Linked DNA regions of Stegostoma tigrinum. The protein of the gene in region 2 interacts with the protein of the main gene of each other region in a biochemical or structural test. Links are inferred from orthologs where the notes say so. Each region holds a gene or a part of one and is shown on either strand. Other genes may lie near its edges.

The links.
Region 1: the proteins of shq1 (region 2) and dkc1 are reported together in a solved structure, tested with the Homo sapiens proteins (2 studies listed by BioGRID, with this or other methods). The link is inferred for Stegostoma tigrinum from reciprocal best matches to the Homo sapiens genes SHQ1 and DKC1.

What each region holds. Positions count from the first base shown.
Region 1 is NC_081368.1:49,357,362-49,372,672, reverse strand, and holds the start of dkc1 (H/ACA ribonucleoprotein complex subunit DKC1), read right to left. Parts: upstream 6,746-15,311; 5' UTR 6,657-6,745; coding exon 6,641-6,656; intron 5,437-6,640; coding exon 5,384-5,436; intron 895-5,383; coding exon 808-894; intron 324-807; coding exon 232-323; intron 34-231; coding exon 1-33. Other genes in the region: tmlhe (trimethyllysine dioxygenase, mitochondrial), read right to left, coding at 12,536-12,667, 14,539-14,677.
Region 2 is NC_081364.1:39,853,945-39,869,477, reverse strand, and holds the start of shq1 (protein SHQ1 homolog), read right to left. Parts: upstream 6,986-15,533; 5' UTR 6,602-6,985; intron 5,295-6,601; exon of another isoform or gene 5,201-5,294; intron 1-5,200. UniProt on the Homo sapiens protein: Required for the quantitative accumulation of H/ACA ribonucleoproteins (RNPs), including telomerase, probably through the stabilization of DKC1, from the time of its synthesis until its association with NOP10, NHP2, and NAF1 at the nascent H/ACA RNA.

The DNA.
Region 1 (15,311 bases), on a different chromosome or scaffold from region 2:
TTTGCTGGTTTATCAAGATTAATAAATCCTGACCTGCCAAAATGTAGCCTTGTGTCAATATGCCTTCCAGTAACCATGATAGATCAACAATTTTCATCAGTTCTTAAATTCCTTCTAAAAATGTAACCATTCTTGTCCCCACCCCACTATCAACAACAACATTTCATAAACAGGTAAGACAGCTAAAATGCACAAGCTTCAGTAATGCTTCATCCTGGATTATAGACATACCTTACATATTCAGAAATTTCCCTTTTGAGGGGTGAGCAGCCACTTGGAATAGGAGTGTAATGTGTTGTCCGTACATTAAGTTTGTCAAAATTCTGTAATACAAAGATTGGATTCAAGAAAGAACTTGCTTGTACATAGCTTCAGGCTTCAATCTGTTGAATACTGCACCAACATAAATGCAGCAAGATCTTACAACTAACCAGATCGTTCAGTGATGTAGCTGCAAACAAAATATTGACCCAAAAATGGAAATATCTTCCTTTTCAAAAGGATGCTAGGGAACACCTAAGACAGCAAATTTGGTCTAGCTTCTTAAACACAATGCGGTATTCCTTCAGAGTGTCTGTTAACTATGTGACTAGATTATGTAACTGTTTTAAGTGAGTGTGAACCCAATGACTTTCTGCAGGCTGGGCAAGTTAGACATTTCTTCAAGTCACAGAAAGATAAGGAGTTCTACTCTACAGACAAACAAAATGAATGCAAACAGATATCAACATGACCATAACACATTCATAAACTATCTGCAGATTAATAATAATTTATGACCACAACTGTATATTTAAATGAGATTACCTTTAGTAACAAAGGCCAATGAGACGTGTCTAGTTTCACTGTTTTTGTCTGTGGTTCGATTAGAAAATCAGTCTCCTGCTGGATACTCTGGAAGCATAATAAAGAGTGATGACTTAAGTCCCATTAGTATAAATACACTGTCCACAATTAAGAGTACAACAAATTACCCTACATAATACAGCAGCTGCCATCTGTATCAAGTCAACTACAATGCACAAGTTCTGGTATTTTGAAATAAAATCAGAAAATGCTGGAATTACCTGGCAGTTCCAATCTGGGGAACACAAACTCAAACAGTCTACAGCCTTTTTTGTTCATTATAGAGTTCAACCATTTCAAATTGTATCTTTGCCCTCAAATTTGCTTCTGTTCTCGTATTAGTTTTGGTTATTTCTTTATTTGTTCCTATGCGTTTGGATAGCAGTAATGTAAGCATTCACACCTCACCTGAACACATGCTCCTTTACTATACCCATCCCCTGGACATCATTATGATTTACAATCTTTCCTGCCTCCAGATTATCCTTTCTCCTGCTTTACACTTTTAGGTTTTGCATTTCAAACTTCTACCTATTCTCAATTCTGATTAAGCTCTCAAGCTATAAAAAAGCTAAATGCATCAATGACATTTTCTCAAGAACATGAGTGGATAGTCAGTGACATTGGCAAGGCTATTTATGATTGACTACAATAGGCAAATGAATCACAGCCCTTCAGATAGCCTTTGCATTGAAACTATAAAAAAGGTGCAGAAATCTCATCATTTGAGCTGATATGTCACTGTAAAAAGTTTCATTTTCCGCATGCCATTTCTCAGAATGCAAGGTTAGAGGACAAAAATCTAATATTAGCATCAGTTATTTATCATTAATAAATGGTTTTTTTAGAGGTCTAATGACAGGAAAAATTACAAATTCAACAACTCCAACAAAGGAGGGCAGCAAAAATCAGGAAACTACAGACTAATTAGCCTAGTGTCTGTCATTAGCAAAATGCTGAAATTCATCTTTAAGCATGTAGTAGCCGTAAATTCAGTACATCGTGTCAATTCTCCTTCAAAGAGCACTTTAAGGAAGAAAAAGCAAAATGGGGAATGATATGATGCATCTGTTTTTCCAAGGGGCGTGAAATACATGTGCCATGTAAAATCTTAAAATATTGGGGGCAATACCAGCATGGTTAGAAGATTGGCTAACTGGCATAAATTGAAATTTGGATCAATGCGTCATAGCTAAGCTAGCAAGACGCATTAGAAATTGGCATCTCAACTACAAACAAGATTAATATTTCTGACTAGAGGTCTGCTTTTATCGAGTCACGTTTTCTGACTGTAAAAAGCATGCAATGAATAAAATCAAGTTTGTAATGGGATGAGTTAATTATGTGGGTCAAGCATTGATAGATTGAGAATCATATAGGAGATGTGAAATTGGCTGCTCTGGTGCAAAAAAATAGAAAAGCAGGACATTATTTAAATGGACACATTCATTAACCTTAGCAGCATCAGTTAACACACACTGTCATCACATGACATCACAAAAGTAATGATTGGAAATACATCAATAATAGAAGGGAGGCCCAACCCAGCTCTCCGAGAACACTCCACACCACTGGTCAGCAAAAACAGAAGGGCCGGATCTCCCTCTCCCCCTCCCTTCCCTCCCCCAAAAACCACTCCCTCACAGAGTTTAACGCTTCCTGCAGCAACTTGGACACCGGCTTTACCCTAATGGTGATACCATATCATTTGGGTACAATCACTCCACAATTAAAAGCACACAATGTCATGGTACAAAGAAACCAAAGTTATACTTATGCATGGATCCCCAAGTTGGCTCACAGGCTCAGCCAATAGGTGGGATGTGCAAGTAGTGGAGGAAATGCAGGCAGTGCATCTAATTGATTTCTAAGAAGGGTTGTCTCATGAGGAAAAATCAAGCACATTGAGCTTTGAGTCAATATGGAGTTTAGAAGAACAAGAGGTGGTCTTATTGAGATACAAGTTGGGACTTGACAGTGTAGAAACTGAGAAAGTCATGGGGAATCTGGAATTAAGAGAATTTCAAATTTATTCATCGAGAGATTAAAAATGAAGAGAAATTTGTTCTCAGTGGATTGTTAATGTCGAATTCTCTACTACACAGAAATGGAAGTTCGCTCATCAGATACATCCAAGATTGACTTAAGATGTATTTTTGATCATCAGGGAATCAAGAGTCACAGGGCACAATCAGATCACTCTTATTGAACTGCTGGGCAGAATGGAGGGGCCAAACAGACCACTAATGAGCCCATAAGATGCAAAAGAAAAGTGGGCCATTCATCCTTCAAGTTCTTCATCATTCAATGAGATGACCTGAAAAATCTTCAACTCAACTGAATACAGGAGTTGGGAAGTCAGGTTGAGGTTGTACAGGACATTGTACAGGCCTCATCTGAAATACTGTGTCCATTTCTGGTCACCAAGTTATAGAAGGATATTATTTAGCCAGAGAGGGGTCAGAACAGATTTACCAGGGTGTGGCAAGGTATGGAAAGTCTGAGTTGTCAAGAAAGGCTGGGACTTTTCCATGGGAGCACAACAGGTTGAGAGATGACCTTACAGAAGTTTATAAAATCTTGTGGGCTGGGATAGGTTTAATGGTAAATGTCTTTTCCCTAGAACAGGGGGAATTTCAAGACTGGGGGCACACTTGTAAGTGAGAGGAGAGAGATTTTAAAAAAAAGACAACCAGCAATTTGTTTTTTTTTTAAAAAGACAGAGAATGATTCCTGTGTGAAATGAACTTCCTGAGGAAGTGATGGATGTGGGCATAATTACTATGTTCAAAAGATATTTCAATAAGTGTTTGCAACGGTTTGGAGAGATATGGGCCAGGAGTAGGCAGGTGGGACTATTTAGTTTCGGATTATGTTCGGCATAGACTGGTTGCGCCAAAGGATTGGTTTCCATGCTGAATGACTATGGCTGTCCTGCCTTTACTCAAATCCTTGATTCCCTCACTAAAAGTATCTTTCCTTGTCTTGACTATTTTTAATGGCCCAGTCCACTGTGGTGAAGAATTCCAGATTCACTACCCTCACAAAACAACCTCTCGAGAGCAACTGTCAAGAAACATTTACTGGCAAAGGAGTCACCTCTTATTCTTCTAACTCCAGTGCGTGCAGGCCCCAAGCTGACTGAACCTCTCCCCTTTATGAAATGTCTCCATACTCAAAATGCCAATCTAGTGACCTTTTTCTGGACTGCCTTCAATGCCAACGCATCTTTCCTCCGATTACAGCATCCAAACTTGAGCCCAATATTCTAGGTGTAGTCTAACCAGTCGCTGGCATTGTTTCGCCAAACTTCCCTACATTTATACTCCATTCTCTTTGATGGACAGACCACAATTTCATTTTCCTTCCCCATTACTGGCTGAATTTGTATTCAAGTGTTTTTGTGATTAATGCAGGAGTGGCCCTAAATCCCAGTGCTGCCCTCCCTGTATTTCTCCTTTTCAAAATATTCAATATGTTTCTTTCCAAAAATGCACAACCTCATTGTATAATATCGGTAAGTTTCTGCACTCACTTAATATGTCAACTTATCTCTACAGACCTTTTTTCTTTCATCATTAATGGGATGAGGGTGTCGTTGGTTAGACTGCCATTAATTGCCATCCCTAACTGCCCAGAGGGCAGTTCAGACTCAACCACATGGCTGTTGCTCTGGAGTCACAGGTAGACCAGACAAGGTAAGGATGGCAATTTCCTTCCCTAAAGGACATTATTGATAATGGATTCGTGGTCATCATTAGATTCTTAATTCCAGATATTTCACTGAATTCAAATTCCATCATCTGCCATGGTGGGATTTAAACCCGGCTCCCAGAATTTTATCTGGGTCTCTGGATTGCCTGTCCAGTAATAATGCCACTAGGCCATCACCTCCCTTTGTGTGTCATCAAAATCATTAACAGATTGTAAACGGTGGTCCCAGCACTGATCCCTGTGATAGTTATAGTTTGACATCCTTAAAATCCTTATCTCAACACTATCTTCAATTTGTTAGGCAATCTTTGATTCATGCTAATGTACTACTCACTACCATGGGCACTAAGCATCATGAAAGAATTCAAGTAAATGTCAGGCATGCCTCTATTTGAATTTAGTATGTATTTCTAAATATGTTTCTACTACGCACGTTAAAATAAACTTTTCCCAATTACATATGTTAATCCAACTACCTACAGTTATCTGGCTTTGTCTCCATTCCTTTTATGCTGGAAATGTTGGAAAACTGCCAATCTCACCCAGGACACTTCCAGAATCTAAGCACTGTTGGAATTTTACTGCCAGTGCCTCCAACGTTTCTGTAGCTCCTTCCTTTAACATCTGAGATTGCTACCCATCACATCCAGGGAATTTAATCGGCTTTCAGACCCATGGATTTCCCTTCCAACAGAGATTGCATTAATGTCACCTCCAAGGCTGCTCCCACATTTTGCTCCTTGCTTCACTTCTTGGACAATTTCAGACAGTAGTAGGAATTCATTTTTGCACTCAATGCTAGATATGAAAATAAAATTATTACCCCAATTCCTTCTCCATTTTTCTTCCTTTGCTTCTTCTGTTTTTTAATAGATGCTGCAAACAACAAACAGGGATGGTTAGAATCCCTCAATAAACTGAAGATTCAAGTCATTGGATGTACTCCCACATTGGAATATTTCAAACAGTAAAAACACCGTACCAAAACGCATGCACTTATTAACAGTTTTTTTAAACACTTTCAGACAATCAAAAGCAAGTTACTATCTGTTGCCATATGGTTGTTTCCTCAGACATAATGCAGTAGGTTCAGTACACAAGCAAAATCAATGCTGCTGGCCAAGGAATCCAAGGTAGGTGAACAGAAGGCTAGAAGAACACAACAAGCCAGGCAGCATCTGAAGGAAAGGAAAAGTCAACATTCTGGATAATACCCTTCTTCCACGACTCATGTCCAAGGGAGGCAGAAAACATCTTCAAAATGGGTATCCTTTGAAGGGACTTTGCAGTGGTATAAACTTAGTTAGAGACAAAAAAAACTGCAAATGCTGTAATCCAAGGTAGGCAATCAAGAGGGTAATACCCGAAACTTGACCTCTCTTTTCCTCCAGATGCTGTCTGGCTTGCTCTGTTCTTCCCGCCTCTTGTTTGTCTACATTAATTAACCAGCTAGAGTTTACATTAAGTGAATTCTGGACTCGTTATAGAAGGCTAATATGAATTCAATCACGGGGCAGAAAATGATGCTCATGAAATTCGTGTGTAAGATAATAATGCACATTATGATTGAAATCGCCTGTCTAACTGCTACGGCATTTAATCTCAGAAGGCAGCTTGCCAACCGCGTACTTGTAGTTGTGAAATGGAAATGGAATCTGTGGCTGGAAACTCGTGGCGACGACAAACAGCAAACCGAACTGCCAGGCCCGGCGCCAAACGTGGGGACCACGTGTTCGGCGCCGATTAGCGCCAGGTGCCTGTTCCCATCCATCCAGAGTCCAGGGCAATGCTGGCGATATCCCCCAGCCACCAGGAAACCACCGACATTCAAAGCAAACACCAAAAGTGGGGGAGGGAGTTGCTGCGAGTTACAAGGGGCGCGAAAACCGTCTCCCCTCTACAGGCCGCGGCCTCTACCTCCCTCCCGGCAGTAAGCAATGCCCTGAAGCCGCCGTGACTCCGGCTTCACTCTCTCTCTCTCTCTCCCCTCAAACAAGTCTGCAAATTACAGATCGTTCTCTGCAGCCGCCGTATTAATTCTGACTCCTTACCCCCACCCCGGACAAACAATGCCCTTTACCATCTCCACCCGCCATCTTCTCGCTCCGATCGCCAAGTGAAGAAACGCGCTCCACTCCGCGCAAGCCAATTAAACACCCGCCCCACAATGCACTACTGCGCGCATGTCAATTATAAGGGGGGGATGGCGGAGGATGGAAGACGGCGCATGCCCAGTCTATAAGAAGAGCCTGTTAATGGTGGAAAATCTGAAATATAGCTACCCGCTAAAAATATAGAAATATTCGGAAGGGCAGGATTTTGACCCTATTGTCGGAACGGTAAAGTGTTAGTATACACGTTTCTATACACATTTACGAAAAGGGGGGGGAATATTAAAAGTCAGTGATCAGCTGGAAGCAGGAGAAATTAGAAGACGAATGATGGTGCATAGTAAATGAAATCAGACATAAAAACAAGATCAGTCTAACGGAGACGTAAATGGGATTAGCATGATTATCACCGAATGCTCCTGGATAAAATACATGCAGTATTTATAGAATCGTAGAATTTCCAACAGTGGAAGCAGGGCAAACGGCCCATCGAGTCCACAACGACCCTACGACGAGCATCCACCCAGACTCACCTCGCTACCCTACATTTCCCATAGCTAATTCACCCAGGCTGCACATTTGTGGAGACTATGGGCAGTTTAGCATGGTCAGTCCACCTAATCTGCACAGCGTTGGACTGTGGGAGGAAACCGGAGCTCCTGGAGGAAAAGCATGCAGACAAGAGACAATGTGAAAAACCACACAGTCACCCGAAGGTGGAATCAAATTCAGGTCCCTGGTGCTGTGAGACAGCATAGCTGACCACTGAGCCATTGTGCCACACATTATGATCAATCTGCTGAACTCAAGAGGGAAGAAGGTTGTAAAGTGTCTCAATATTTGAACTGGTATTTCTTAAACTTGGGTTGGCTCATTAAATACCCAAGTTCAGAGAGATCAGAAGGGAATGGGGAAGGGAAATTATTTCTGCAGTCCAGACTTGACAGAAGTTTTCTAAGGACTCCCCATTTGGTTCCAGATCTACCTCTACAGATAATTTAAATCAATTTATTGCTAATTTGGGATATGAGGAAGGGTGCTTGTAGTGCTGAATCCCTATCACTGAGCCAGGAAACCTAGGTTCAAGTCTCACCTGTTCTGGAAGTGTGTAATAACATTTCTGAATAGGTTGATTATGTCATTATTATATCAGAGGCACCATCCCATACCTTTATTCTTCCTTAACTAGCACAAGACAGAGTCAGAAATCACCACTTGAATTAGAGTGTGCGCATATACTTGTATATCAGTCTATCCAAACAGCATTCAATCTCAGCCCATGAACTGCACTCTGCTTGATAACAACAGACAAGAGAAGCAAAGAGTTCATTCTGCTGCTAACATTAGTCTCAGCATCATGAGCCTCAATTTTGCAGCAATCATGTCTGTGCCAGTTATCAAAACCCTTCAACTTCTGTATGCTATGGTGTTTTAAAGTGATCATCAAAATACTTCTGAAATATTGTGGTAATTTGTGCAGCTGCCATGTGCTTAGAGACTGAGTTGCAGACAGCTTCTGCTTGAAAAAAACTTCCTTAAATCCCTCTAAACCTCTTGCCCCTTTCTTGAAATCTATGCACTGTTGTTCTTGATTCTTCTCGAATGTAGAAGTTTTGTGTATTTAATGATGCTCAATTTTGTCCAACTCAGTCAGATTCCCTTTCAGACTTCTCTGGTCGTCATCTCTACCTGAGTCCACACAGACTTTTCACTGTACTAAAGTGTGTTGTGAAAAGTGTATTATGTCACCAGAGGTAAAGCCATCTTAGGTACAAAAAAAAAACTTAGAGTTGAAAAGTTAACCATTACCTTCATCAAGTAGAAAAATAAATCTAATAGTTTAAATTTTAAAAAGACTTTAATGTTAACTAGAAAATAAGGAATTAGGTTAGAAGTTCTTATAAACTCCAGTCACAATTTATTAACCTTAGTGACTGCCAACCATCTTCAGCATAACTACCAACTTTGGCAAGAGTCTCCATTTTTGTCCACTTGTGCTGAAGTTAACCTGACATGCACTTGCAATAGATACTTCTACATCTCAACAGAATTAGTACTCAGCACCAGCATAAGTTTCACATTAAAGTATGAAAGAAAGACATGTTCAGTTGAAATGTTTTGTGTAGAGAAATGGCCGAGTGGCTTTTACATAGAGAAAAATGATTGTGCTTCATTACAGAGGGGCCGTAGAAGCAAAGAAATTGAGAACTCTAGAAAATACCACATTGAAAATGTTTTGAGGTTTCATCCTGAAGTGACATTTGGGGCCTTGGGGATCCATGGGGCTACACAGCACTGTTTTCCCCCTCTTGCTCAAATGGACAATATTAACAACTTTGTCTCCAATTTCTACCTCCTTCCCGTTCACAAGGTTCATCTCAACCCTTTCCCTTTCTCAATTTTTAAATTTCTATTTCCTCAAATAAATTACTGACCAATATTCACCATTATGCCACTGGTCTCATACAGGTATCTCAAGTACCTTTCCTCCCACCCCAAACGAGGAGCTGTTATTCCATTTTTCCATTCTTTATGTTTTTATTTCACCATTTTAGAATTTAGACAGGAGCAACAGGAATCCACTCAGCCCCTTTATTCTGCACAGTCAGCCATGAATAGCATACCTGATCTTTGCATCTCGATCAGCTGTGTTGAATGAACTTATCCTCAGCAATCTATGAAATGATGAGTTTATAAAATTTCAGAAGATTCACAACTCTTCATAAAAGAGTGAAGAAATTTCTCCATCCTAACTGTTAGCTCCGTAAGACAAGATCGTGAAGGCCCCTCATTCTAAATTCCCCAACCAGAGGTAAAAACATCCTCCAAACATGTACATTGAATGTTTAACATTCTTAAAGAAACTTAACATCGAGGTACATGCAAACAAAGGGGTAGGCAATTCAACTCAGATCTTGACTGCCATTTCATAAGATTATGTCTAATCTTATTGTCATCTCAAATCCACATGCCCTTCTATTTATGATAACCTTTCACTCTTTTGCTTCACGAGAATCTATCATCTCTGCTTTAAAAATATTAACAGCACTGCTTTCACTGCCTTCCTGAGCTGGTAATTAAAAAAGACGTGACTTCCTTAAAAAAAAATTGGCTCATCTGTTTTAAATGGGAATAAGTTAATTTCTAAACAGTGACACCTAGTTCTGGAGCAACTCTTTCTTCTAAACTGCAGGTATATGGTCTGTTTGTTCTCGGTTAATCCTGAGAGATCACTGGTCTGTTTTTTTGTTCAACATAGAAAGTAGGAGATAGAATAGCCCATTTGCCCCCTCGAGTCTGCTCCATCATTCATTTTGATCATAACTGATCATTCAACTCAATACTGTATGTTCTCCCCACCACTCCCTGTATGCCCAAGTGCAATATGCAATTCGTTTTTAAACTTGTACAATGTTTTGGGCTCAACAGCTTCCTGCAGTAACAGATTCCACAGGCTTTTTACTCTTTGGGTGATGAAATTTCTCCTCGTCCAAGTACTAAATGGTTTACCCCATATCCTTAGACTCTGATCCTTGCTTCTGGACTTCAAAAGCATCAGGAACATTCTTTCTGCATCTACTATGTTTAGTCCTGTTAGAATCTTAAGATTCTATGAGATCACCCCTGAACTCCAGCAAATACAATCCAACTGATTCAACCTCTCCTCATATTAGTCCTGCCATTCATATGGTGAGCTTTCACTGCCCTCCATCTAAAGCAAGAGCATATTCCCCAGACAGGGAGGCCAAAACTGCATATAATATTCCTGATGGGGTCTCACCAAGGCCCTGTACAATTGCTGCAAGACTTCTCTGCTGCTGTGCTCAAAACCTTTTGTTCTAAAGGCTAACATATGATCTGCCTTCTTTACTGCTGGTTGCCTCTGCGTGTTTACCTTCTGTGACTGGTCTATGAGGACAAGCAGGTCACATTCCCTTGTTCAGTTCATAGCCATATTAAAGCTATCCCATCTTCCAAGGCCAGTTTAAAAGTATTTTTAAAATCAACATGTTCATATATATGAAATGTCTAGGGCTGTTAGGATTTGGACAATCCTTCTGGCTCAGAGATAGGCACTCTACAGCTGCGCAATAAGACCCTCTCCCAAGGCACATATACCTTTCCTAACAAATTGTACAGAACATTCATGTACAATTGTACTGCTCATTACCAATGAGCTGAATGGTTGTAGTAGATTTATTTATTTTTGCATTCCAATCCATTTATAGACTAGCAATATTTGCATATCTACATTATTTTCTGTACCTAAAAAGTTCATTTCGTGACTCATGCACAAGAACATGCAGCTTCCTCTAAATGCAATATTTCTCAGTCTCTTACAATTCTAAATATTTCATTTTTTTCTTGAAATGAATAGCTTTGATTTATTCACATTACATTCCATTTGTCATATTCTTGCCCCTCACTTAACATGTCTATAAGCACATTTATCTCTCTCACAACTTGCAAAAGTAAGTAATTTTGTAAAGTCAACAGACTTTATGCATTGCTTTGATGCTCCACAACACATTCTTATGGATTTAAGTAGTTGATGACCTGATCCATACAGCATCCTATTAGTTACAGCCTGCCAAAAATGAAAATAATCTATTTATTCCTGTACTTTGTCTGTTAAACAATCTTCAAATCATTGCCAAAATATTACTCAATCCCCTAGGCCCCATTTGTAGTAAAGATGTGATATATTTTATTGTACGCTTTCTGAAAGTTTAGAAGATTAACATTCTGTAGTTCCCTGAACATACATTATTGCAACCTCAAAAAGTTTACAATATTTCTGATAAAACTGTTTAATTTCATAAGTTTACATCCACTCTACCCAAACATATGATAGAACATTGCTAGTAATGGATCCTAGCATTTTCCCGACTATGGTGTCAAACTAATTGACCTATTCAATTTTCTGTTTCTCCTCCCTTTTGAATAGCTGTGTTTACAACCGAGATTTAGAATCCTCACAACTTCCTTATATCACATTTAAAAACTGTGTCTCAGAAAAAAGTTTCCTCATTGCCAGAAATGTATGGGTGGAGCTTTATTTAGGTATTAATTCAAAACATTCTAATATCCAGAAATGATCTGTATAAAGCATGGAACATAAATATTATTCAGAGGTTGCATGACACAGGTTTATAGTCCAACAGGTTTATTTGAATCTCTACCTGATGGAGCAGCACTGCAAAAGCTAAAGACTTCAATAAACTTTCAAATAAACCTGTTGAGACTATAACCTGGTGTCATGTGACTTCTGACTTTGTTCACCCCAGTCCAACATCAACACTTCCACATCGTGAATGTTACTATGCTTTTACTAGGCTTTGCATAAAACATTATCCATAATAGTGCAGTTGTTAACAGTCATATAAAGTGATTATGGGAGGAAAAGCCCAGTTACATATTAGCAAGCAACTGCCAAGTTCAAATTTAAGCACTATAAACTATAAATACTCTTAAACTAAACAATATTGAATGTAGAGAGCATGCTTTTGATCTTGTTGTTCAAGTTGACCACTCTAGTCTTTCACAAATGGTTCTGATCACAATTTCTTTGGCAACTGTATACAATGAATTTCACTTTACATAATTGGAATAATAAACTTCATTAATCCATTAGGAGGAGGGTGGGTCAAAATGAAAAAAGCAGTAGTTGAAAGATAATAATAATAAAGATTTAAAACTAACATTATGGTTCAGCTGGGCAAACTAAATATAATTTGTAAAACTGTCTGATTCAATGAATATATAGTTCATGATCTTTTAAGTTTCTCTAGAAATCTAAAATTCAGATACATGTCAAAACTCTGAAGTCAACAAATTGTATAAGAAGTTCAGAAATTTGTTTTTCAAATCTCGATCCCAAGGAATCTTGCGGTGTTCAGTACATCATCTCTCATCAGGTAACAGCCACACAGACGACGGTATCCAGTAAATGCATCACGTCCATGAAGGACTCTCCAATTATCAACAAATAAAACCTATAGTAGATGCAAGCATTCATTTAAAATGTTACAATTTTAGTACATATGTATCAATTTTTACTTCCCAGTGAGAAACAACAACTACAAAACAATAAGACCATAAGACATATATGAGTTGAAGTAAGGCCATTCGGCCCATCAAGTCCACTCCGCCATTTAATCATGGCTGACGGGCATTTCAACTCCACTTACCTGCACTCTCCCCGCAGCCCTTAATTCCTTGTGAGATCAAGGATTTATCAATCTCTGCCTTTGATGAATAGCATTGTTCTTTCATCACAAACAATTATTTCAAAGACTGACGTAGAGAAGCATTCAAAATCCAAAAACAATTTTGGTATATAGCTCATTGGTACTCTACTTATGAAAGTCCTTTAACTCTCTTTGCCTCAAATAGATCACTGTGAAAATGTACAAAGTAACACCTGAGACTCACCTGCTCTTAGGACAACTAGATATCACATCCAACAGGCAGTGACTGAGATAAGTGGCTGTTCAAATGTAAAACACCATCTTAAGCAGCTCTACATAATTTACAATTGTAAACGGGTTGAGCTTTTCAAAACTTCAACCATTAAAATCACTAAATGAACCTTTACATGCAGATGAAAGTTTGACTTTTTCCTTAAAAATGCTCTTAATGTAGGTTGTGAAAGTACAAACTTTAACATAAACAAAAGGCAGATGGGTAAGAAACATCTAGCAAAAAATTACAAGAGCAGCAGGAATAACAGTTTGCTTGCTACAACGTTTATAACACTTCTGCTCAACCAGAGCATTTACAGAATAGTAAACTTAACTTAAAAACTTCACAACTGCACAAGTTGGAATCAACATTCATCATGGATTAGGCATAAAATGTTATACACAATATGCTATATCTTGTGTCCACAAAGCTCTTTGTTGGACATGCCTCTTCTAGAGATGAATGACTTGGCAGTGAAATGAGGTACGTCCAGAAGAATTTCCATATATCAGAAATAATTCCACGTAGGTATGTTACACATCTCCATACATATATAATTCTAATCTGAACTGTGCAGAATTTGTCAAAGTTTAGAGTCAATAGATGGTGACGTTACGTTCAATAAGTGGATTGAACATACTTATACAGGTGATGTGTAAATAATTGTTCTGATATGTAGCTGAGTGAGATGTGAAATAATTTATAACTTAAAATGTTTTCATCCACAACAGAATGGATGACTACTGTTAGCTGCATGAAAGCTGTCATGTTCTGTGATCACTTAAACCATCATGAATCTATAGTCGCCTGCCATTTCAATAAACTACTGTGTTCCTGTGCCAACACTTTGGTCTCAGATTTGCTGTTCTGTTCTGAAGAAATGTTAATCCTGTTTTCTCTCCAAAGATGCTGCTGAGTTTCTTCAGCAATGTCTGATTGTTTATTACAGATCCAAGATTCAGTCACTTGCTCAAATTGTAGTCCGTTACTACAGTTCCAGGTGGGTAAGTGGATCTTGCACTAAAACTAACTCTCTCAGTCCCTTTGGAAAGTACTTGGTTTTTCAAAGTATCAATTTGTCTCGCAAAAGGAAGCAATTCTACCAATTCAAGCAAATGAATACAGTGGCTTAATTGACATATGGTACCTGCTAGCCATTTGATATGAAACTGCAATGTTTAAGGGCTCTTGTGGCACACGGTAATGTCCCTGTCTCTGAACCAGAAGGCCTGGTTCAGATGATTGATATCACATATGTAATAACATCCCCAGAGTATGTTTATGTAAAATATCTACAGTCAGCAGTATTCAAAAGGCATTTTTTGCCCTGTAACTGCAGCATAGATAAATCATATTTACCACCCACTCAACACCCAAACCGCAGGATGATTTACCTCCTTACCTTTCCAGGTTTGAGTTTCACCCAGATTTCATTTTCTGGTTTTCTGAGTTCTGTCGTAAGGGCTCGATGTGCAACATACCATTGATGAACAACATCATGAGGCACTGTGCTTATAACGGTTCGGTCATAATTGTTATACCTGTTGACAAAGCAAAACGTTAGAAAGATGGTGCTGATGAGATTTGAAACAAAGGAGCTCAAATCACGCTAACAAAAGGAGCTGTTCCTAGAAGAGAAATCACGGGGTGATTTGGTTCAAGTTTCAAGTTACAAATAGAGGTGGGGACATGCAAAGTAGAAAACAGACTATTCCCAGTAGTTGAGGAGTCTAAAAGGGAACCAAAAGTAAATTGAAGTGTTGCAATAAGAGGAGTCTCATGATTAAAAGCAAGACATCTGGAGTTATGCAGGTAAACCTTTTGTTGCAAGAGTATCTTACTGGAAGTTAATACTTTACAGGATGTATTAACATTGAAGGCAAAGCTAAAGTCCTGGGGGCAAGAAATACAACTTTCTGCTTGTGGAGAACAAGGAGCAACATTGTTTTAGAGATACTAAGCTCATTATATGCTGAAATTTCTTGAAAACTAAAAGCAGATTCTCTCAATTATCTTGAGAAAATACACAGGGCATAGCACTAAGCCACTTTGTTTAAGAAGTTTCAACAGAAAGGAAGAGGAAGAGAAAGAGATCACAGAATTGTTAAGGCAGTGAGGTAGTGTCTGTGATAATAAAATGTGAGGCTGGATGAACACAGCAGGCCAAGCAGCATC
Region 2 (15,533 bases):
TCCAAGCAATTCCCCTCCACCTTGCAAGTGCAACAAGATCCAGGAATTCAATGACCATGGAAGTACATCAACCAACATCAAGGACAGTCAGGAACTCAGCATCTCTCTCAACAGATACTGCAAACCCACTCAACTCAGTACCTACCTATGACTTGCTCCAAAAGGTCAAGTCGAAAAGTAACCTCTGTCCTAATTCAGCATTTCATATGCTTACTCTCATGTTTCCTTAAGCTTTCAAACTTTACAGTCCATCCAATGGATACTATTTAATCCCATCTGCTACATCTAAAATTTTTCTAAAGTCACGATATCAGTTAGTTAATCACATTAACTAAAAGATGTTTACATGACACTACAGGACAGTTTAACACTCAAAAACTGCTATATAAATTCTGCTTTACATGTTGCCCATTGTTTTAAAAGCAGGCATTGATCCAACAGCTAGTGTTGGAACCTTCACCAGGGCTCATGCATTGACTGTGTATGTGGAACTGGACTCCCATTTATCCTCGCTGAGGTTAGTAGTTTATTGTTTTACATTGGATTACCAAACTCAAAGGCATCCTCACTTAGAAACCTGAAACATAACATTGCATATAATGTGAGAATTACCATGCTCTAGGTGATGTATTAATCTGTTTGCAATCCCTAGTTTGCGTACCCAATCCAAGGAGCCATTTCTACAAACAAGGCATCCTCACTTAGAAACCTGAAACATCACATGAGAATTACCATGCTCTACGTGAAGTATTAATCTGTTTGCAAGGAATACATGTGAAGGAAATGTTGACTACGTACCTCGATAGCTGGCTACCTCTAGGCTACAGCTACAAATCATATTTATTCGGAGCACAGATTAGCAGAAGCAACTTACACCAGGCAGATAAATCAGACTCATTCCCTCAGCTTACATGACTTTTGCTACTTAGGTACTATCTAGTGTTTTGAAGCGTGCATAAAATGACAGCTGAACCCAAGAAACCACTGAAACTCCACTTAAAACCGGACAAATCTGTTGGTTACAGGAATGTACTGTCTGTGGGCTCAATCACAATGGTCAGTTACCAGAGCAAGATACGAGTACAAACAAACATTCATAACAATGAATAACAAGCTCCAACAAAATAAATCATAAATCTTACAGAAGCAAAAGAGCACCATTTGGAAATTATCACAGCTTCAATGGAGGAGTCAATGGCTGATGTAATAGACACCGGATGATTAACTACTCGATTGCCAAAAGGCCCAAGAAAACTTAATCATACAGTGCAACAGGTCATTCAACCTCTCTTAGCTCTGAGGAGTTGGCACAGACATGTAATGCATCCGAATTCCCTCCAGTTTCTCTATATTCCATCTATTCATTCCCCTTCAAAGTATTTATCTAAATCCTATTTGACGGTCCTTATTTAACTGTTTATACCAACCTTTCAGGCAGTGCATTCTGGATCAGAATAATAACCAAGGAAAATAAACTTTCAACTACCTTTTAATTCTTTTTCAAATTCTTAAATCTGTACCTTCTGGTTACCAACTGTTAATCCTTTTAGCTTCAGGGAGTACAATTTTAACCTCTCCAATATCTCAAGAGCTAGAGTCCCCAATCCCTGCTATCAATTTACTAAGTCCAAACTGCTTATGAACCCATCTCTTCCTTCTGTTTACACTAGGGTCATGGAGTTACAAACTGGTCCAGGTTCTGCACAACACCAGGTTCCCAACGCTCCTCAAATGACTAGTCTCTCGAGTTTTCAAAAACCTGCTGTGATTGATAGTCCTCTCAATTTTCTTCTGTTCTTTCTTTGGCTCAGACAAATAAACTTCCTAAATAACAATTCATGATACAGTTCTATTACAGGCCTCCCAACAGCCGGCAGAGTACATAGGAAGAGACAATCGAAAAATGTGGAACTAACACAGGGTTGTTATAGTGGGTGATTTTAACTTTCCTTATACTGATTGGGACTTCGTCAGAGCCAGGGACACCTCTTTTTTCGGGGGTGGGGGTAGTTGGAATTTGTTACGTGCTTTCAGTATGGGGACATTTCGCGAATAGTGACCATAACTCAGCATTTCTTCAGGTACTTACAGATAAGATCAGTCTTTGGGTGAAAGCATGAAACTGGGATAAGATTAACAATGACAGTACGAGGCAGAAACTGGGGATTGGTGATTTAGAGTGGATGTTTGAAGGCTCATCCACATCATGCACGTGGGAATCTTTTCAAAGCCAGTTGATTGAAGTTCAGGACCGGCACGTTCCTGTGAAAATGAAGGATAAGGCTAGCAAGATTTGGGAACCTTGGATGACAAGAGAAATTGAACAACTCAAACAAAGAGTTAGGAGCGCTAAAGGGGCCATGGTACATCCTTGGCAAAAAGGATTAAGGAAAATCCCAAGACACTTCATACATATGAGGAGTGAGAGGGTAGTTAGGGAAAGGGTAGATATACTCAAGGACAAAAGAGGGAATATATGTGTGGTGCCAGAGGAAGCAGGTGAAAACCTTAACGAATACTTCGCATTGGTACTCACAAAGGAGGACATGGTGGATGGAAAGAGGGGTATGTTGATATCCTGGAGCATGTTGCTATGAAAAAAGTGGACATCTGAAAAGCATTAAGGTTATCAAATCGCCAACCTGACTGACTTTTTTGAGGAAGTAAAGAGGATAACTGAAGGCAGCAGGGCAGTGGATGTTGACTACATGGACTTTAGCAAAACCTTGAATAAGGTCCTTCATTGTAGGCTAATTAAGAAGGTGAAGTCACATGGAAACAGTGACGGATGGATACAGAATTGGCTTGGTCATAGAAAACAGTAGTGGTGGAATGATGTTTTTCCAACTGGAGATGTGAGACCAGTGGTGCTCTGCACAGATTAATGCTGGGGCCTCTGCTTGTACTACATATAAGATTATGTGGGGGGAGAACAAGTGTGATCTGATTAGTAAGCCTGCAGATGACACAAAGAATGCAGGAGCTGCTGATGTTGAGGAACATTGCCAGATGGAATTTAATTTGGAACATGCTGGGTGATGCAAATTGGAAGGTCGAATGCAAGGTTTGGGATTGTGGGGCGGAGGGGTAAACGCCAGAACACTTACAATCATGAACAAACAGGGATCTGTGTGTACAGGTACACAGTTCCCAGAAAGTGACAACACAAGTCGATAAGGTGGTCAAGAAGGGATCAGGCATGCTTGCCTTCAACTAGTTGAGGCAAAGTGCATAAAAATTAGCATGTCATGTTGCAGCTGCTTAGAACTTCAGTTAGGTCACATTTGGAATACTGCACACAACTCTGGACGCCAGACTACAAGGAAGATGTGGAGGCCTTGGACAGGGTACAGCCACAGTTTACAAGGATGTTGCCTGGTTTGGCGGGTATTAGCTATGAGGAGAGTTTGGGCAAACTGGTTTGTTTTCACTTGAACATCAAGAGGCTAAGGGAAGACCTGAAAGAAATTAACAAAATTTTGAGGGGGATGGATAGCCAGAATCTTTTTCTCCCCAGGGAAGAAGTGCCATGACTAGGGAACAAAGATTTAAGGCGAAAAGGATAAAGTTAAAGGAGATGCAAGAAGCAAGGGTCAAAATCCTAGAATTCCTTCCCTAATGGTATTGTCAGTTAATCTACAGCACTTGGATGCAGTGATTTGAGAAGGCCACTCATCACCATAGTCTCAAGGGCAGAGAGATGGACAAAAATGCTGGCCAGACAGTGACCCCCACATCTAGTGAATAAGGTTTCTTTTTAAAAAATACAGAGGGTGATAAATGCCTGGAATGCACTGCCAGCGGTAGTAGGAGCAGATGTAACGGTAACATTTAAGAGGCATCTTCATTGATACAGGAATAGGCAGACGAGAGAAATGCGGACCAAGTCAAGGCAAAAGGTTTTTAGTTTAGAAATGCCTTTCAGCGGTCAGGGTGTTGAGTATAAAAGTTGGTAAATCATGTTGCAGCTGTATCAGGCCATTTGGAGTACCGGTCTGGTCACCATATTATAGGATGTGGAAGGTACAAGGGAGTTTACCAGGATGCTGTTTGTATTGGAGTTTATTAGCTGTGAAGAGAGGTCAGACAGATTTGGGATGTTTTTGTTAAGGGGGGGGTGGAAGTGTTGAATATTGGGGCCAGTAGGTTTAAGGTGAGAGGGGAAACTTCTGAAGATGTGCAAGGCAAGTTTTTGTTTTAAAAGAAAGTGTGGTGGGTGCCTCGAGGTGGGGGGAGGTGGCACAGGCAGAGTTGATAGCAATGACTCAGATGCATTCTGACATCAAGCAGGGAATAGAAGGATATGGATCATGAGCAGGCAGACTAAATTAATTTAGAACAGCATCATGGTCATTATATACGGTGGGGTCCAGGGAGTGTTCCTGCAGAAACAGATCTTTGTTCTAGCAGCTCCAACTGCAACAACTCACATTCTCCATCGGGCCTCCTAGGACTCGGATCTTTTTGAAATTGAAGCTGACACTCAACATCCTAAATCAATCTGCCTTCTTTTTAACCTGGGTGATCTCCTACTTAATATTGCTCTTAATTTCACCTACTCTTAAAATTACAAAATTACAGCTCAAGAGAACAAAAGGGCAGGACAGAACTCATCAACTGACGTCTTTCATTCATTCCATCTTGGCCAAGTTATTAAGCTGATAATTCTGTACCAGCTGGGAAACAGGTTCTCTTCCTCAGCCTGTTTCCGGTTCTCCTAAGGCAATGAAGAACTATCATTGGGTCAAATGCAAGGGCAGTCGGGTGCACTTGAAATACGAGTTAGGTCAGCATTAGTGCTTATTCTACAGTTAAGTGTGACATTTTAGTCACTCAACACCGTTCACATGGAAAACTCTAAAACACAGGAACAGACCGCACTTGAAATCTTAAGCAATGAAGACCAGACTGTTAAATTATGAGTTAGGTAGGCTGGAGGGAACAAGGGGACATTAGCTCAGATTGCAAATTTATGAAACTCATGTAGCTGTCATGAGAAGTCTCTTTCCACCTGACTGCTCACCCACATTCACAGAAATATTTCTCTGTATATCTTGAGAAAAACTTGAACTGTGAAATTTGACTGGTACTCTGCAGTAACAGCCTCTTCAAACCTTCTCTCAGAAAAAAACTACAAAGGCCATTACTTAGTTGAAGGGGCATGCTTCTATCTAGGGTCATCTGCATTCACTCCCCGTACCTTCAAGAAGAACTCCAGCAGTCAAACTATCACAAGGTGTGTGATCCAAAGTAGAAGTGAACCAAAGTAGGTGAAAGTTTGATTTCCGAACCAAACACTCAAAATGCTTCCAAAAGCAACTGTAACAGAAAATCTGGAGACCTAATGCAGTGGATTCAAGGAAAATATTGTCACATTTCTAAAGCAAGGCATCATAATGCATCTTGTCAAATCTGGGTCCTGAGCAGATCAAAGACTGAACATATTAAAACAATTCACTCTTTTTTTAATTTTGTACCTATACAACAGCAAACTGTTACTTGGGAAATAACAATCTTTGAAGATTTCTCAATCATTACCTCCCCAATATAAAGGATCTTTTTTATGCCACATCCGAATAGGTGCCGCCATCTGAAAAACCAGAATACTCACAATGCAATTGTGGATGCTCAGTCTTCGCGTATGTTAAAGACAGAGATCAATTGATTTCTTTAGTTTACAAAAATCTAAGAGTACAAGGTTAAACAAGAAAATGACAAAACATAAACCAGGACCTAATCAAATGGCACAGAGAGATTGAGGATTATTTGATCCACTCCCATTCGTGTTCTTCAAAATAAAGTGTTGGATCCAAATACTAACGTTGTGTCTTAAAAATGAAGGGACAACCAGTGTTTGTACCAAAGATAGTAGAAACTGCAGGTGCTGGAGCATCTGAGATAACAAGGTGTAAAGCTGGATAAACACAGCAGGCCAAGCAGCATCAGAGGAGCAAGAAGGTTGACGTTTCGGGCCTTGACCCTGCTTCAGAAATGATTTCTGAAGAAGAGTCCAGGCCCGAAACGTCAGCCTTCCTGCTCTTCTGATGCTGCTGGGCCTGCTGTGTTCATTCAGCTCCACACCTTGTTACCTTAGTATTTGTACAGGCATATTATGCTGATATTCTCCAATGCTGCACTATGCTTGAAGTAAGGAAGGATACTCTTTTACGGGTTGTTGATCAATATCGTCCCAAGGTCCAGGCAAACCGCGAGATCAGGTGAATATAGCTATAATGAAAGAATCGCAGCCCTACTCATACTTCATACCAACATGAAGCCTCATAGAATTCTTGACAATTTTGCACTCCAAGCACAAATACTAATAGTCAATTTGACATCATACATGTCAAAACGTCATGAGTTAATTTCAAAACACTCTGGATTGCATCAACGTAGCAGCTAGATCGGATCGTGCCAAATTTACCGACATAGCTGCATAACTACTATTTCGGCCGCGCATAGAAGACATATAAACACCGAGACACCGCACGTGACTGTTGCACTCAATACTTTGGCGTGATTAAAATCACAACTCTGCCCCAAGTTTACTCTTCTGCACCAGTGAAGTCAGTGTGGTGCTGATATCTTTAGAATGCATTACCTTCTATTAATGATAACCGACTGCACTACTGCAGCACACTTAATAAGAATGAGGATTGCTCAGCCCGTGCTCCGGGGAGGCCGCTTCAACCTCAACAGAAAGCCCACGAGCAGCTCACGGTGCTCCCGCCGTGAAGTTCTTAGAATGTCTGTCTATCTGTCTGTCCGTCCGAACGTTCCGTCTTAAAATTCCACAATCCTTTATCCTTCCCCCTCGAATGTTGCAGACCTCAGCGTTCCACAGTCCTTTATTCCCCAGAATGTTGCAGACCTCAGCGTTCCACAGCCCTTTATTCCCCAGAATGTTGCAGTCCTCAGACTTCCGCTAGCCTTTTGTTCCACTGTCGGCGATTCTATCACCCTGATTACAACGTGCTCACCCAAATGACTCAGACCATCTAACCCGGAAAAAGAAAAAACCTCTCGCTAAGTGGGCAACCGCGCCATCCAGAGGCAAGGAGTCTCTTCTGCCTGGCCGATTTAAAGTCACAGGGAACTGTTTGATATCGTGGTATCTTACCAAAATTGTCGAGAAGATCCATATGGTAGTGTGTGTGAAGTGTACGTACACGGAAGTTCTTGGCTTTTCGGTCTTCCTATGTGTCAATAATGACTACAATTCAAATCAGTTCATTAGTTAGAAAGTTTAATGAAGTTTAATCTCAACAAAATATTCGCCTTCTCTCGTCTGGCATTCTGGAATCTTCCTCGCTCACGTATGCAGAGAGCAATAGATAAGACCATAAGACATAGGAGCGGAAGTAAGGCCATTCGGCCCATCAAGTCCACTCCACCATTTAAATCATGCCTGATGGGCATTTCAATACCACTTCCCTGCACTGTCCCCGTAGCCCTTGATTCCTTTTGAGATCAAGAATTTGTCGATCTCTGCCTTGAAGGCATCCAACGTCCCGGCCTCCACTGCACTCGGCGGCAATGAATTCCACAAGCCCACCACTCTCTGGCTGAAGAAGTGTTGTCTCATTTTAGTTTTAAATTTACCCCCTCTAATTTTAAGGCTGTGCCCACAGGTCCTGGTCTCCCCGCCTGACAGAAACAATTTCCTAGCGTCCACCCCTTCTAAACCATACATTATCTTGTAAGTTTCTATTAGATCTCCCCTCAACCTTCTAAACTCTAATGAGTACAATCCCAGGATCCTTAGCCATTCATCATATGTTAAACCTACCATTCCAGGGATCATCCATGATGAAGAACTAAGTATAAATAATTTTTTGTCAACAATATCAGTGCTGTAAATTTAGGTTTCACAGAGTGTTACACTTAAACTGGAATCAATAAACTACCTAAGATTTCAAATAGGATTGTACGTAAGATGTAATCTAATTCTGCTTCAATTTTGTTTTGAATCAGTTCTCACTTGAGAACTCACATGAATCTCATGATCAACATTGTATTATCCCACACCTTCATTGCCCATCTCCTCACCGAGTTAAATTGGTTCCTGATGTCCCAACATCACAAATTTCAAATTATTATACTGCAATTTAAATTGCTCCTTAATTTTGTTTTAGCAAATAGTAATAAGATTTTTAGCTTGCCAAGGTTAAACCACATAAAGTTGAAATTGTAGTTTATATGATCATAAGACATAGGAGTGGCAGTAGGCCATTCAGATCATTGGAGTCTACTCTGCCATTTGTCAAGATCATAGCTGACCTGATAATCCTCAATTCCCTTTCCTGTCGTTCTCCCCCTCACCTTAGATTCCCTAACTGATTAAAAATCAGACAATCTCAGTCTTGAATATATTCAATGACACAGCTTACAGCCTTCTGTGGTAAAGAATTCCACAGATTCATGACCCTTTGAGACAACAAATTCCTGCTCTGTCTTAATTGGGTGACCCCTTCCTCTGAGAGTTCGCTTTCTAATACTAAACTCTCTCAAAGGGGAAAACAGCCTCTCCACATCCACTCAGCCAAATTTCCTGAAAATCTTCCAAGTTGCACTAAGATCACCTTTCATTTTTCTAAACCTCACTGAGTACAGGCCCAAACCATTCAAGCTCCCTTCAACAGGCAATCCCTTCATATGTCGAAGCAACTTTGCAAACTTTCTCTGGACTGTCTACAATAGCAATATACCTTTTCTTGGATAAAGGCCTTAAACTATTCTAGGTATTCCAGATGTAATCTAATTAGTGTCTGGTATAGCTTAAAGAAGACTTCCTTTTTTTTTACTCCATTCCTTTTGAAATAAAGGTCACCATTCCATTTGTTTTGGCGATTAACTGCTGAACATGTACAGTAGCTCTTTATGATTTATACACAAGGACCCCAAATCCCTCCGATCTGAAGCTTTCTGAAGTCTTTCTCCATTTAAATAATATTCAGCTGATTTCTGAAATCAGGCGGGGACTAGCTGGGCTGGTTTTGGCATGTGGTCAGGGGAGGGGAGATTTTGAAACTTGTGAAGTCCACATTGATACCTGATGCTGTTCCTGCATCTTTCAGGTGGCGTCATTGTAACGATGCAGGAGGCCCAGGCTGGACATGTCGTCCAAGAAGGGGAGTGGGGGGGAGTTGAAATGGTTCGCGACTGGGAGGTGTAGTTGTTTGTTGCGAACTGAGTGTAGGTGTTCTGCAAAGCCTCCTTCTTTTGAAAAAAGATAGATTTACAATGATAATGGAAACTGCAGATGCTGGAGAAGCCGAGATAACGAAGTGTGGAGCTAGATGGACACAGCAGGCCAAGCAGCATCTCAGGAGTACAAAAGCTGACATTTCGGGTCTAGACCCTTCATCAGAGAGGGGGATGGGGAAAGGGAACTGGAATAAATAGGGAGAGGGGGGAGGCGGACTGAAGATGAAGAGAAAAGAAGATAGGTAGAGAGGAGAGTATAGGTGAGGAGGTAGGGAGGGGATAGGCCAGTCCAGGGAGGACAGACAGGTCAAGGGGGCGGGATGAGGTGGTAGGTAGGAAATGGAGGTGCGGCTGGTGGTGGGAGGAAGGAATGGGTGAGAGGAAGAACAGGTTAGGGAAGCGGAGACAGGCTGGGCTGGTTTTGGGATGCAGTGGGGGAGGGGTCGAGCTGGGCGGGTTTTGGGATGCAGTTGGGGGAGGGGAAGAAATGGGCTGGTTTTGGGATGCAGTGGGGAAGGGGAGATTTTGAAGCTGGTGAAGTTCACATTGATACCATTGGGCTGCAGGGTTCCCAAGCGGAATATGAGTTGCTGTTCCTGCAACCTTTGGGTGGCATCATTGTGGCACTGCAGGAGGCCCATGATGGACATGTCATCTGAGGAATGGGAGGGGGAGTTAAAATGGTTCGTGACTGGGAAGTGCAGATTTACAATGTAGTGTATTAAATTGACAAGTAAGGAGATATAGACAACTTGAATTAATATTGAAGCTTTAAGCTACAATAAGTGACTTCAGAAGATTGAACTTTAACTGTTGATCCATTACATTCAGGGAGAAGAACTTTGCAAATTGTTTATTCTACCAACTTCACAGTACGTACTTGTTTCTTTCTGCATGATGTAATCTCACATAAAACAGAAATTTTGTGCCGCACCAATGATCGGCCAACATTGCTTCTTTCATTTTTCACCCTAATTTTCCCTTCTGCCTTTTCGGTCCTCATGAAGCTTGTCAACAGTCAGAAATATAGGCATTTCAAAGTATATAATCATGTTGCCCATAATCTGCCACTTGTCCCTTAGTGTTTGCAAGTTACAAGTTTTAGTTCCCACTAATAGGTAACCCCACCACACATGTCTATCTCAGGCAGTACTTGGCAGTTTGAAAAATTACATACATTGACCACACAAAAAGGTAGCAGTGCACTTTTGGCAATCTCTGCATTGGTTTCTCTTTATTTGTAAAGAAACTTACACCTCAGCAATAAAGGAGGACATAAGGATTTGGATGATTCATGGAGACCAAATTCAGCAAATGAAATGGAAGAAAGTATCAGGAAAGACAGTAAATCGATTGCTTCCCTTGATGTTATGCTTTTTGAATCAAGCATTCATATTTAATTATCTATTTATTCACCTTATTTGTTGATAATTCTACTTAGTCACTTAAATTTTGTGACATGAAATTGGATTGAGTTAAATCAGGTTGAGTTCATTGGGCTGGTGATAGTGGGAACTGTAGATGCTGGAGAATCCAAGATAACAAAGTGTGAAGCCGGATGAACACAGCAGGCCAAGCAGCATCTCAGGAGCACAAAAGCTGACATTTCAGGCCTAGACCCTTCAGACCCTCTCTGATGAAGGGTCTGGGCCCGAAACGTCAGCTTTTGTGCTCCTGAGATGCTGCTTGGCCTGCTGTGTTCATCCAGCTTCACACGTTGTTATCTTGAGTTCATTGGGCTATTGCTTGCAGCCATATCCGTTAATGCTTAATTATTAAATTGTTGGTCAGCTATGGTATTATTCATTTATTGTATTTGTGCTTTGCAGCCAGAGTTCCATATAATTGATTTATGTTATTGTTTTGAGACAGAGAGTGTCAAGATTTAATAATAGAAGCACTGGTTTTTGGTAGATTAAAGTGCATTTTGTACTTTCATTCTATTTCCTGACTACATATTGGGAAACAGTAATTATGAAGTGTAGGGGTGAGGGAAATGGGTGACTTAATGAAAGTTCCAGTCTGCAGACTTCCAAGGTGCAACAGATTTCTGAACCAGTAGCCTCTCAGGCCAGAGCAAGGAACAGAAATAATAAACATCACAAAAAAAACAATGTTACAAGAGGTAAATTTTACACTTGCAAAGATTAGGTGCTTTAAGCAAGACCTTTAGTATAGTGGTGGCGTATTTTTGTGGTGTCACTCTGGTGTGTTTGAGGATACAATATTTTAACTATTACCATCTATAGCATATTATCACAACTACTGATAAGCTGCTTTGCATTTTAGTTATACAATATTTGTCAGCTATACTTTGATTTTAGAACAATTTTGACTCAGGGTCACAAATTCCTGCAATTTTGTAAAGGGAACAGGTCAATTCTTGCCGCATTGGTCTTTGGCAAATGCAACAGGGTATCTCATTACGTACTGGGATTTAGAATGCAGGAATTGCTTCCTTTTCTTTCCAGCTCTGCCATCACTTTGCCACATGAATAAGATGGTTGAATAAAAAGTATGAAGTTACTTGATGAAAAAGTTGGCACCATTTTAAACTATTGAAAGGAAACTTCTCTCAGTCATTAATGTCAAAGCTGCCACATTTCCAGAAGAAATTACAAGTCCGTCTGTAGCATTTTGTTTGCCCTCCCTTGAAACGCTGGCTATTTGATAATTGAGAAAGCATGATCTGACAGAGGAGATGCTTTTCACACATCCAGCCACTGTATCTAATCTATCACAGTTGGCTTTGAAAGAGATTTGCCAGAATTGCTAGTAAAGCTGATCTGAAGAAGGACAGTAGTCTTTGTTTGACTGTCTGCCCACTGAATCCAGACAGTGTGGCGGAGGCATTGCTAATTGAGATTCTCAACTCCTACATATTGCTAACACACAGTCCAGGTATCACAAGACTTCTGTAGACTGGTGATATTGCTCTGTACACTAGCACTTTTGTTGACTTGTGCAGGCCTTTGAAGTCAAGTCTTCAGTGCCATTTTCGTGGAAGGCTGAGTGGTGCAGCTGATCTTGTCAATTACGGCCATTTCGGTAGTGGTTGTTACCAAGGTGTAGCTCAAGATATTACAGAGTCTCTTCTTCAATACATGTGGGAGGTGAAATATTTGACAGGCCAGGTCTGGGTTAATATGAGTTTTCTTTCTCATTACATTCAAGGACAGACCATGTCTCTTGTTTTCAGATTTGAAAAGATTAAGAATGTCTTGCAAATCTAGGATAAAGTGAGCAATAACGTGATGTTAATCTTCATATTGTAAGTTGTATGTGGCTGTGGTGGTCAGTTTGGTTTTGGCATGGAGGTGACTGAGGTTAAAAAAGATTTGAACTAAGTTGTATTTAATGCCCACAGCAGAGGGCAGCAGATCTTTGATGAGTTGAGTAATCTCTTTCAGGGAGATTGTAGATTGTATGGGGCTAAAGCAAAGCCTTGCCTGACCCAGCACAGATTTTCAACATGTCTGCTTCAGATCTCTTCCCAAAGATGGTTGCAGTTGTATTTGAAGCAGTTGCAAGATTGTAATGAAGTTTTATTGGACAACAAAATCCCTGGAGAACAATCCACAGAACCTTACAATTGAATGAATAAAATCCTTTGTTCAGGTCAATGACTGCAATGAAGTTCCTGATTTTGATCTTAACATTTTTCTTGTATATCCTAGGCAACAATGACCATCTCAGTGGTTTGTCTGGAACACACTGGGCTACAGTTTACCATATATCAGTCAAGCATAAATTCTGGGGAATTTCTTTCAGGGCTTTATGCCATGAGCTCAAGTGAGATTTTTCGTGCAACTGTCTTCTGCTCATCTCATTAGATATGGCTCAATATCACATCATGGCCTCGCTGACACCATTCTCGTGCTGTGTTACATCGCCAACAGCAGAAGTACTTACCACTGTCAGGAACTTCCAAGATTTCTGCCACCTGCACCATGTTTAAAGCCTACTCAGCATCAAGTCAATTACCTCCAGCCACAAATAGCCCTTTACAGTAAACATAGCAGGCACATAGGTGGCACAGGTGACACTCCTAGTAAATAGAAGCTCACATTCATATACATGTTCGATTCCAGCCTTGGGCGACTGATTGTGTGGAGTTTGCACATTCTCTGCATGTCTGTGTGAGTTTCCATTGCGTGCTTTGGTTTCCTCCTACAGTCCAAAGATGGGGAGGTTGGGTGGATCGGCCACGCTAAATTGTCCATAGTATTCAGGGATGTGTAGGTTAGGTGTGTTAGGTATGAGATACGGTTAGGGGATGTGTTGAGGTGGAATTGTCTGTGTGGACTTGTTGCGCTGAATGGCCTGTTTCCACACTGTGGGATTCTATGATGATTCTATGTTTTGATTTTACATCATCACTTACCTGATTGGCTGTCACTGTATGTGCAGCCAAAAGAGCTAAGCTACACAGACTTGCCAACCTTAGCACAATGCCAGACCCCTGGCTAATGAGTGACTGGACTTCAATTGATATCTATGGTGCACTATGCTAGCATAGAACTAATCCCTTGTCTGGTCACACTGACCATAACCCAAAGCCCAGATTATAATGACATGGAACTTCTGACTTCCCTAAGCACCTGACTGACTGTGTCAAATGATGATATTGGACAAAGCTCTGACTATGCTGGTTCCCCTGAGCGACGCCAATCCCCCTTGACCTGATTGATGACCAGTAGAATTTGAGAATGGCCATTTGGTATTGTGTCGGCTACTGGCATGTGCTGTAAGTGTAATATTGATGTAATATGTACCATAAAGCAACATGCTCACCCCCTTAACTGATCGCTGCTGACAACTATGACAGACTGCCTGGCTTTATGTCTGCACTAAACATCAAGATAAGTCAGAAGTACTGTGAGTCTGTGACTTTTGAATGATGTGGCAATGCGCAAAAAGGCAATGCAGGGATACTGTGAGAATCCAAGTAGGTGCAGAGTGGGTGAGCACTAAGAGAACAAATGAAGAGCCCAAAGTTGCATCCTGCTCCAATTCATGAGATGAGTACCTGCCACTGCATGCGAGGTACTGCACTGCACTGCAGCCAAGCAGCAACATTAAATGCACAGAGCTGATGCACTCTGAATTGCAGCACTGCACTTCAGAGTGTAGGAGATATGCCATGATGATATTGTAAGGCTCATCCATGTCTGATGCCAAATCCCGTGGAGGGGGACTGCAGGCAATCACTATATGTGGAGGTTTTGGGGATGCTGGTTGAGGACATGAAGGAGCAAGCAGGATTATGAGTTGTGAGAGAAATGTAAAAAGGCTTCAAAATGATCTAGACAAGTTGAGTGCGTGGACAAGCAATATGGGTAAGTGTGAAGTTATGCATTTTGGTGTGAAATACAGAAAGGAACAGTCTTATTTAATTTATGATACTTTGGGAAATGTGGATGGAAAAAGAGATCCGGATGTCTTTGTAAACCAGTCAATGAAAGTAGTCAGGGAAAACAGCAAGCAATTAGGAAGGCAAATGGCATATTGGCCTTGATTACAAGAGCATTTGAGTTCAGAATTGGGGGTGTCTTAATGCAGCTGCAAAGGATCTTGGTGAGATCATCCTGGACCTGAGGGGTGACTTTAAAAATGTTTATAAAATCATGAGGAGTGCGCTAAGGGTGAACGGTGAAGATCATTTCCCCACGGTAGGGGAAGCCAAAACTAGAAGGCATGCGTTTAAGGTGAAAGGGGAAAGATTTAAAAGGGGCCTGAAGGTCAACTTATTCATGCAGAGGGTGCTGCACGTAAGAAATGAGCTGGCAGAGGAAGTGGTGGAAGCTGGTACAATTACAACATTTAAACAACATCTGGATGGGTATATGAATAGGAAGGCTTTAGAGGGAATGGGGTGAAATGCTGACAAAGACACCAGATTCATTTAGAATATCTGATTGGCATGGATGAGTTAGACCAAAGGGTCTGCTTCTATTGCTGTTCAACTCTATGACTCTATTGCACTTAGTTTTGCTCTCCCTTCCTAACAGAGGATATACTAAGAGTGAGTGCAGCAAAGAGTCACTAGACTAATACTGGGGATGGCAGGCCTGTTTTATGAGGAGAAACTGGTTCAATTGGGTCTGAACTCACGGGAGTTTCAGAAGATAAGAGGGAATTTGATTGAAATGTACAAAATTCTACCGGGGTTTGATAGACTAGATATGAGAGAATTTTTTTTCTGGTTTGGGAGTCTAGAATCAGTGACACAGTCTCAGGATATGGGGTAGCCCTTTAGGACTGAGATAAGAAAAGGTTTTCTCACTTAAAGAATGATGAACCTGTGGAATTCTCTACCACAGAAG